2 linked regions of the Kluyveromyces lactis genome follow. The protein of the gene in region 1 purifies or fractionates together with the protein of each later gene. This does not show direct contact. Links are inferred from orthologs where the notes say so. Each region holds a gene or a part of one and is shown on either strand. Other genes may lie near its edges.

Region 1 (4,982 bases):
AGCCTCTTCAGCAAACCATTTGAAGAACATTGCAGAGTACACAATCTCACCTAGTGAGTCCTTGTACGGTTTACCGTTCTCCAAAGTTAAGATTTTGGCTAGATCCTGCTTGTTCTCTAGCATCAAGTTGTATATATTGTCCAAGATCTGCGCGCGCTCTCTGACGTTGGTCTGTCTGAACGTCCCGAATGCATCATGGGCAATTTCGATAGCCTTGTTAAAATCTGAAACACCGCAGTTCGTAACCTCACGGATCGTATCACCGGTGGAGGGATTGGTTACAGCAAACTTGTCGTCAGTTTCTGTCCATTTACCGTTGATAAAGGCCTTGGTTTGTATCAAATAATCGTTCTCAATTTTAGAAGACATCTTTCTTAATAGGTTTAGCGTTCTTAGGGTATTCGAGTTGCGGAACATCTTAACTCTTGGAAATAACACACTCAGCGACTTGACAATTTGTTAGCCATTAGGATCGCCGTTTATATACAAAGTTCTGCTCTTATTGCTTCATGCTTGCTCTTAATAGCAAAAAGTGCGTCATATTAAATGTTATATAATATCCATTATGTAGTGTAGAGATGATACACTATTTAAGGTTGGAAAGAGGAGACGGAGCCGAAGTTAACATCAGCATGCATCAAATTCTGATAATTCTTATTTAATCTTGCTATGCTCGGTCTATATATTGCTGTATAATCACTACATTTTGCTATGCCCTTTGCTTAAGGCACCTAAATATTACCAAATCCTCTTTGATACCATCTTGTATCTTTCAACGGACTCTAGCGATTTAGGATGCTTCAGATCTCTCTTGGTTCTTTGCTCGTTGAGGCTAGGTGGGATGCTTGCCTTCTTTTCAAAAGCAGCGAGTTTTGGCGATCCTGGTGGTGTAATTGTTGGTGAATAAGTTCTTGTCTGGCTAGAGTGTGTCATTTTGCGGGCATCCTCATCCATCATTCCTCTTCCAGCAGAGAGATGGCCATTGATATACAAAGGATCTGGGTGCAAGCTGGCTTGTTTGTTTTGGATATGTAACGTCCATCTCAACAGTATTGCTTGAAGTGTTAGCTTTGTGAGTAGAGCCCATAGGAATCCAAATATTATCAGAACAGTGGACCAGATGATATTATTCTTGATCGTTTGCCTGATGGCAGGCCATACCAGTACTAGGAAGGCTACTATTAGTGGCGGGAACGGCAAACCTAACCTCTTTTGGAATTGGATACTGTTGGATAGGTTGTCCTTGGAAAGAATTTGCAAATACCTTTCATAGATATGCGCTCTGATTCTGTTGAATTTGATAATATATGCGTGCTTGATCCAATCCACTATCAATTCACTTCCAATTACTGTGACAATCGGCCCTATAAATATACCAACTATCAAGGACTGTGTAGAATGAACATTCCATGAGTGTGGTAAAACATCGCGCAAGCTCTTTCTTGCTACGATAAAGTTTCTCACTGCAATGACCGTTAGAAATACGATCAACTGGAATCTTTCCACGACGTCAGCCATAGTCAATTGGAACAATCCTTCTTTATCAATTCTCTTGAAAACTGCAGATTTTAACTCTGAAAACTGCATTGACAACAGTAGCGTCCATAAGGAGTTAGAATACGAGTTTACCGCAACGTTCATGGCAAGAATCTGGTAGATGTATATCAACGCGTGGAAACTTAAACATAAACAACATGCAATATATAGCATTACCATCTCTGTCTTATGTTTGGCACTCTTCTTGAGCATGATAATTGAATATAGATCAAGGCCAACACTTGATAAGAGCTTTTCTGTCATCTCAAGAACCTGAAATATCATGTATAGTTTAATAGCATTTTGGCCCTTAATTTTATGATATATTCTTGAGGTGTCAAGGACATTCAATATCGAACAGGGTCCAAGAATCATCGCAGTAGTAAGAAGCTCTTGTCGTATTCTTTTAGGACCATCTCGTTTCACCACTAATACATGGAATACCCTAAGTGGTATAATGGTAAAGTAATACAAGAAGCAGTTCAAACAAGTCAATATCGCAAAGACAAAGAATTGCTCGACTTGGAATGGTACCCTCAGTATGTTCGCAATCTGCTCCAGATCATATTCAACAGACTTCTCACTCTGATCACATGGTTCCTCTTCGAATACCTTGGCTGTTTGGGGAAGAATCTCCTGGTATATAAAGTTCTTTATCGATGATGACACCGTATTCACGTCTTGTTCAACCGATACCCTTCTCCCAGCACCAGAACTGCTTTCCTTAGACCTCGCCTTTCGCCTTTTGAGGTGGGCTTCAGAATCCTGTGAACTCATTTGTTGAGGCACAACTGACCGGTTAGTGCTAAGGACCTTACTTCGTCATGGATATTTCTTTCTTCTGTTGTTGTTGTCTGCTCGAATTCGATCTACATTGAATTAAAATAAAGTCCTTGCTTAAATCACATCGAAGGGTTGATAGTGCCAAAGTAAAGAAGGTAAACTTAAGAAAAGCACATGAATAAGGGACCTCATACAGCTGCTTGACCAACTACGACCGTGAAATAATTTACCAAAATAATTAGACTATAGCAATGGCTACCATTGAAGAAATCAAAGAGGTTGTATTAAAACCCTATACAAACCATCGACAATTGACCATAAGGGAAGTGGAAACTATAAGTATCAATTTAATAGACTTATTGATTACAAAAGACGTGAAAGATGCAAGGACGATGAAATACATTTCAAGGTTCCTTACCAAACAGGATTATGCGGATCTAGTCCAAGAAAGGAACTTGGTGAAGCGTTGTGGATATCCACTCTGTAGCAAAAGCCAGGCGAGAGTACGTGATCCCTTCGCAGATGTACAGATGACCAATTTCTTAAGACAAAATAACCCATATGCATACCTTACAGAATACTGTACTAAGGCTCATTTTAGATGTTCACAGTTTTACCAGTTTCAGCTCTCAGACGAGGCTTTGTTTGCTAGGGTCGGTGTACATCTTGACGATTATGAGCCACCTAGTGAGATACAATTGCTCGAAGAAGTACTAGCTAGAGAGTCTGATGTTAAGCAGATGATTCGTGGTATGACTGATTTGAAACTCGCGGACGATGATAGTAGAGAGGAAATGGAAAGGGATATCAGTGACATGTTAGCTGATATTAAGATCGTAGAGATCAACGAGCCAAATATCATTGGAGATTTAGGACGAGATAGATGAAATGACAGAATGATGACAAGTACAAACATATTTGAGGTAGAGCATTTTGACTCTATAACTCAAAATATATGGACAATCCTGCATTATATAGTCATACATAAAATAGTTTTATTTACGATTTAACTTTCACTAATTGATCTGGTCTAAGGAACCTCCATTTAACAAGCAAAGCACCTAAATTTTTCTCTTCGGTAAATGGGTTTGTCGTTGGTAACTCTGCTTTCAAGCCCAAGAATCGTTCAAGCCTTTTTTTATAAAGTCTTTGGTTCAGTTGTTTATAATATTCATATTGTTTTCCGTCAATTAAGTGATCTCTACTTTCGGTGAATTTACGCTGTGTATTAGCATTTATCCGGTTGAGAATGTCCATATCTTCGAGGATTGGTTTTATCCAGTCGATGAACACTGCAGGGATGTCATTGGACTTACCACTCTTTATCTGTGTCACGACGTCATTGAATTTTCGTGAACATGGTTGTTTGTGAATCAATGTATATTCCCATTGTGCTTCTTGAAATGCATAGAAAAGTTTGGATTCACACTCCCTAAATCTATCGAGATTATCTTGAGCTCTAAGCCGTGCCTTAATTATGATTCCTGTCAATTTCTTAGACTGGCGTGCCTTCCTATTGAATGGAGATCGTATGAACCAAATTCGGGATTGGCCAGCGTTGGTGTAGTTAATAGAAACTTTAGGGGGGCCCTTGGCAATGCGGTACTCAATCCTGTACAAAATTTTACAGTATCTCTCGTGGATTGCAAGAGGTCTGAGTAGCTCGTCGATATGTTTACGAGGTATCGTTTTAGTCGGACCATATATTTTATAATATCTAAGAAGGTAGCGGTATAAATCACCATCACCAGGAATAGGTGCTAATCGCTTCTTTTTTTCCCTTCGACTCTCATCCCCCATATTTTCAGTTACCACCACACCAGAAATTGGTTTGTTCGCTTGCTGCAACGGTTCTGGAGCAGGCTCGATCTGCTCTGTGTATTTGTTCTTTAGAGCAACTAGCTTGATTATATCATCGCCGACAATATACTTATTCAGATGAGAGAGATCCTCCAATAATCCACGTACGTACCAGCCAGCTTTATGATTTCTGTTACGTCGTACTGCTTGTCTCAATGTGTTCCAAAGCTCAATCTGGAGATTATCAGTGGGTACGTTGGCCCTAATGTTTCGTAATGAATATCTGTACCATTCCAATACGTGTTTCCTATGACTTCCTATCTCTCCAAATGGTCGTACCATTGATATAATTCTGCTTTGTAGAGCTTCATCAATTTGATAAGATTGAGTAGGATGTACCTTGAATTCTTCCTGTTTTCAACTACTCATCTATTCATGTCATCGCATCTCATCTCATCTTGACAATAGTCATAAACTTTGAAAACATACAGATCAGCGTGCTATACATGCTTCGTATGGTGCCGTGTGAGACGTCATTTTACAGCAAAGTGGTTTCGTGGTCTAGTCGGTTATGGCATCTGCTTAACACGCAGAACGTCCCCAGTTCGATCCTGGGCGAAATCATTTTCTTTTTAATTTTTTTTTTTTGCCTCCTGTGTACTTTAAGCAACAAATCAGCAACAAATTCTACTACCAAGCTACACACAATATTGTTTGATTTGTAAACATTGTGGTTGCCAAGTTTCGGTTGAATGACTAGTAGAGCATTATCTCTATCCTCGAACTCCTTTTCTCATTTTATCACTTCTAAAGTCTCTTTATGTTCCATAATGATGCAAAACCATAACAATCTCCGCTATATT
Region 2 (4,024 bases), on another chromosome or scaffold:
GTAGTAGAAACAATAGTAATGCGGAATTGATTACCAGCAGGAAAAGCTCATTGGATAGACACAAGCATAATCTATTGAGCAGAACTGGAAGCAACGTTGACATAAACAGGAGAGGTTCTGTAGGAACTATGGAAACGACTAATGAAGATTCTAAAGAGGACGAACAGTCTCACATGAAAGGAATGCACTTCAGCAATGAAGCAACCATAAATAAAGATGACGATGAGGATGAAATGTTAATGAAACGTTCATTTAACGCTGGAACATCTACTACTGAGCAGGTTATGGGGTCGCCCAGATCTATAAGAAGTATTTCTGTAAGTTCTTACCCAAGAAACCAGCTTCCATTGAAACATCTCAACCTCTCTCACCCTACAACATCGGCTACCACTACCCATGCAAAATTTCATAAGAGTGAAATGAGCCCCGACCCACTGCACACAGAAGGAGCACAACCGCATACTAGCTCGCAACATCATAATAGCTCTCAAAAAAATGATGAAGATGATGATTTGTTATTTGTTATGAGTGATATGAATCTAACCAACTAATAATGACATCAATAATTAATATTAATACAATGGTTTCACGACCTCAAACCATTCTTTCAAAAATGCATTTTATAAATAATTTATACTTGAATATATATATGTGTATATATATAGATATAAACATCACATACAAACTTCACCTGAAATTTTTTAAATCTTCCTAGCGTGGTCATTCTTAGAGGATTTTTGGTTCTCGTCCTCAAGAATCTTCATCTTTAATTCATGAATCTTGTGCTTTTCAATATGAGTATCGAATTTTTCTTTTGATTTGAATGTTCTGTTACAATTGGTATATGGACATTTTCTTTTCTGACCCACTGTATTCAATAACAATGATTTGGTTGTCTTCCCTGACTCAATATACTTCTTTATCTTTATTTCTGCTTCAACTGATCCAAGCTCGTCAACTTTCCGTTTCTTTGAGAAAGAGGGGAAATCAAGTAACGTTTTTTTCCCTGAACTAAAACTGTCCTCCGTTTCTGATATCTTTATATCTGTATTCACTTTAATATTCGTATCTTCATCAGCGTCCGTCGGCAGTAATAGCAATTCTGGATCTACATCTTTGTGACTTTCTTCATAATGTTGTACTAGCTGAGTTTTCTTCGCAAATGATGTATCTGGACATGAAGAACATTTCCAATTCTTAGTGACCAAACTCTCGTCATGAATCATCATATGATTCCGTAAACCTGATTCAGCAACACAAGGTTTCCCACAAATAGGACATGGTAATTTCGGATGGCATTGTTTAATATGTTGTTGTAAAGAAGACCAAGTGGAAAATACGTCGGTACATGAAAGAAAGTCACATTGGTACATTCCGGTAGATTCTGGGTTGTGATGCTTATCTATGTGATTCTTCAATCGATAAGGCCTTTGGAACGTCTTGTTACAGTGAGGGCAGGTAAGTTTCTTTTCGTGAACGGACAAGATATGCGATCGGAGTTGTGGATGTTTGTAGAATGATTCGTTACATCCCTCATATGAACAGTGGAAGGACTTCGTATGTGTAATTTCATGTCTCTTTAACTGTTGTCTGGTTGTGACACCTTTCCCACATATAGAACATGTGAAAGGTTTATCATCTGTATGAGAGAACATGTGTCTATTCAGATGCGATTTTTTCGCAAATTCTTTGCCACAAGTGTCGCATTTAAACGGTTTGATTCCATGATGCACGGTGAGCTGATGCTCCGTGAGCAAACTCGGTCTTGTGAACGATTTGTTACACCCTTGATAATCGCAGAAATATACTTTAGAACGCTGTGACGATGAAACTGACACAGTGCTAGTCACACTGGCCATACTCATAACACTATCCATGGACTCTGATCTGGTTAGCGGCGGTGTAGGTACACAACATTGTTGATCATCATCGTTTTCACCAACAACATTCTGCCGTACCTCATTTTCCTTATTGTATGTCGGCGCGACCATCACAGATTCATCAGTAGCTACTACAACGTTGCCTAAATAGTCCATAACTCGGTTGGGTATTCCGTGTATCGGCGTGAATCTCCTTACCCAATCGCACCTCATCGCCTGGGTTTTTTCTATGAATTTCATTTGAATCTTATTTTGTATTTTCAATTAGGGACGTAAAACTGTAATAATCATACAGAATAGACAGGGAAAAGAAGCAGCTACCACCTCCTTCTGAGAACTTCAGTAACTGTGTACTACTAGCGATTCTCAAAGGTAATGCAAGCAAGACAAATAGGATACCATAAATGGGCTGAACCAGTAACATATTCATACAGTTCACCACCTCATCTCGAAAAGTGTTGATAATCGTTTCTTTTACTGTCACAATCGATTTTTGAAAAATTTGGAAAAATTGGAAAAAGCTTCAAATGAAAATGAGCTAGCGAGTAACACAGTAACACGATGTGGACGATAAATTGTCTTATCCAGGTCTTTATTGTTGATCAGCGGCATCAAGGATTAGCATCTTGATAGATAAAGATGTCAGACAACGAGGGAGCGTATGTTATAGCGATTTAATAGGTGTTTTTCCCTATTATTTCTTCGTAGAAGTTGTCTTCATGAATAGTTTTACTAACTAGATGAGTATGCGTTGCTGAATGTCAATTCAAGCACAAACTATCTAATACAGATTTAATGACGGTCCAGAGAACTATGAAGATTTTGACCAAGAGCATTTCTCAGATTACGACGGATTTGATGAGGGCGAGGGTAAGTTTGGCGATGAGAACGGATTAGGCACAGATGAAAACGGGAACACGATAGTTGCTGGAGGATTTGGTCCAGAAGAGTTCCAGCAACAGGAGGCTCGTCGGAGAAGAACTTTGAAGGAGAAGGCTATCGCCAAGGAAGATAGAACTACAACACCATACATGACAAAGTACGAAAGAGCCAGAATTTTAGGTACCAGAGCCTTGCAAATATCTATGAACGCACCAGTGTTCGTTGACTTGGAAGGTGAAACCGACCCATTGAGAATCGCTATGAAAGAATTAGCAGAGAAGAAGATACCATTGGTCATCAGAAGATATCTTCCTGATGGATCGTTCGAAGATTGGTCGGTTGAAGAACTTATCGTGGACTTGTAGAGAGCATACCATAGGCATCTTTAAAATAGAAAACCCCAGAAATATTAATAGTAATATATGTGTATATTATATATGAAAAGACACTGTAAATTTAGATATATCCACTGCGAATCATTCACTGATAGATTGAACGAACTTTTCTCCCTTAAATACTCTTCGGCCAGATACTTGTTTCGCAGAAAAGTGTGCCAATACACGATCCAGTTTCGCAGGGTCTTCCAATCCGACGTCCTTTAGACATTGTTCAAGCTCAGCAGAGTCACACAAGAGCTCTTCATTATCTGAGAATGCCTTAAGTGCTTCTCTGATCTCGGTTGGGTCTGGCATTTCACCCATACATTCGCTCATTAACGACAGATACGCTGGAAATGTTAAAGTTTCGTCAGGAGCTAAGCTTAACATTTGTTCCACATCTTCTTTATTATCTGGTTTACCCAATCCTCTCAACATCTTTGCAAGATTTGATTCTGATATCATTCCATCTCCATCGTCATCTATTAGTTGGAATGCTTCCTGCATTTTCTTGATCTGCTCTTGTGTAAACTGGGAAAAAGTGACCGAACTACTCTTATTCATCGCGAAGCTAGTAAACTTGTTCTCACTATTCCAATGTATATAAAGATCCAACACTGACCTTTATTTGCTAAAGTACCCGTTGTCTCTGTAACGAGATGCTATTCTGTGTTTTTTGGTTCAGATGCATATGTCTAAAACGTAAATAGTGAATAATCTTTCTAACTTTTCTAGATTTCGAACAAAAAACTAAGCAGAGCCAATCTACAGAATTCAATTGACTACATGATATTAGTAAAAGTCAAGAGAAAAGATACCTAAGCTACTGCATACCATCGTGAAACTGACCCATTTATAACATCAATATCCTGATATAGACTTCTT

The links.
Region 2: the proteins of RTR1 (region 1) and RPO26 purify together in Saccharomyces cerevisiae (affinity purification with mass spectrometry; 3 studies listed by BioGRID). This does not show direct contact. The link is inferred for Kluyveromyces lactis from reciprocal best matches to the Saccharomyces cerevisiae genes RTR1 and RPO26.

Annotation. Positions count from the first base shown.
Region 1 is NC_006042.1:1,171,494-1,176,475, forward strand, and holds RTR1 (RNA polymerase II subunit B1 CTD phosphatase RTR1), read left to right. Parts: upstream 1-2,570; coding exon 2,571-3,206; downstream 3,207-4,982. Other genes in the region: KLLA0_F12628g (NAD-dependent succinate-semialdehyde dehydrogenase), read right to left, coding at 1-417; EMP65 (Emp65p), read right to left, coding at 739-2,313; RRG1 (Rrg1p), read right to left, coding at 3,319-4,461. UniProt on the Saccharomyces cerevisiae protein: RNA polymerase II subunit B1 C-terminal domain (CTD) phosphatase that dephosphorylates 'Ser-5' of the CTD and regulates RNA polymerase II during the transition from 'Ser-5' to 'Ser-2' phosphorylation.
Region 2 is NC_006038.1:313,314-317,337, forward strand, and holds RPO26 (DNA-directed RNA polymerase core subunit RPO26), read left to right. Parts: upstream 1-2,519; coding exon 2,520-2,539; intron 2,540-2,670; coding exon 2,671-3,127; downstream 3,128-4,024. Other genes in the region: serine/threonine protein kinase regulatory subunit ATG13, read left to right, coding at 1-551; PZF1 (Pzf1p), read right to left, coding at 702-2,120; MLC2 (Mlc2p), read right to left, coding at 3,239-3,703. UniProt on the Saccharomyces cerevisiae protein: DNA-dependent RNA polymerases catalyze the transcription of DNA into RNA using the four ribonucleoside triphosphates as substrates.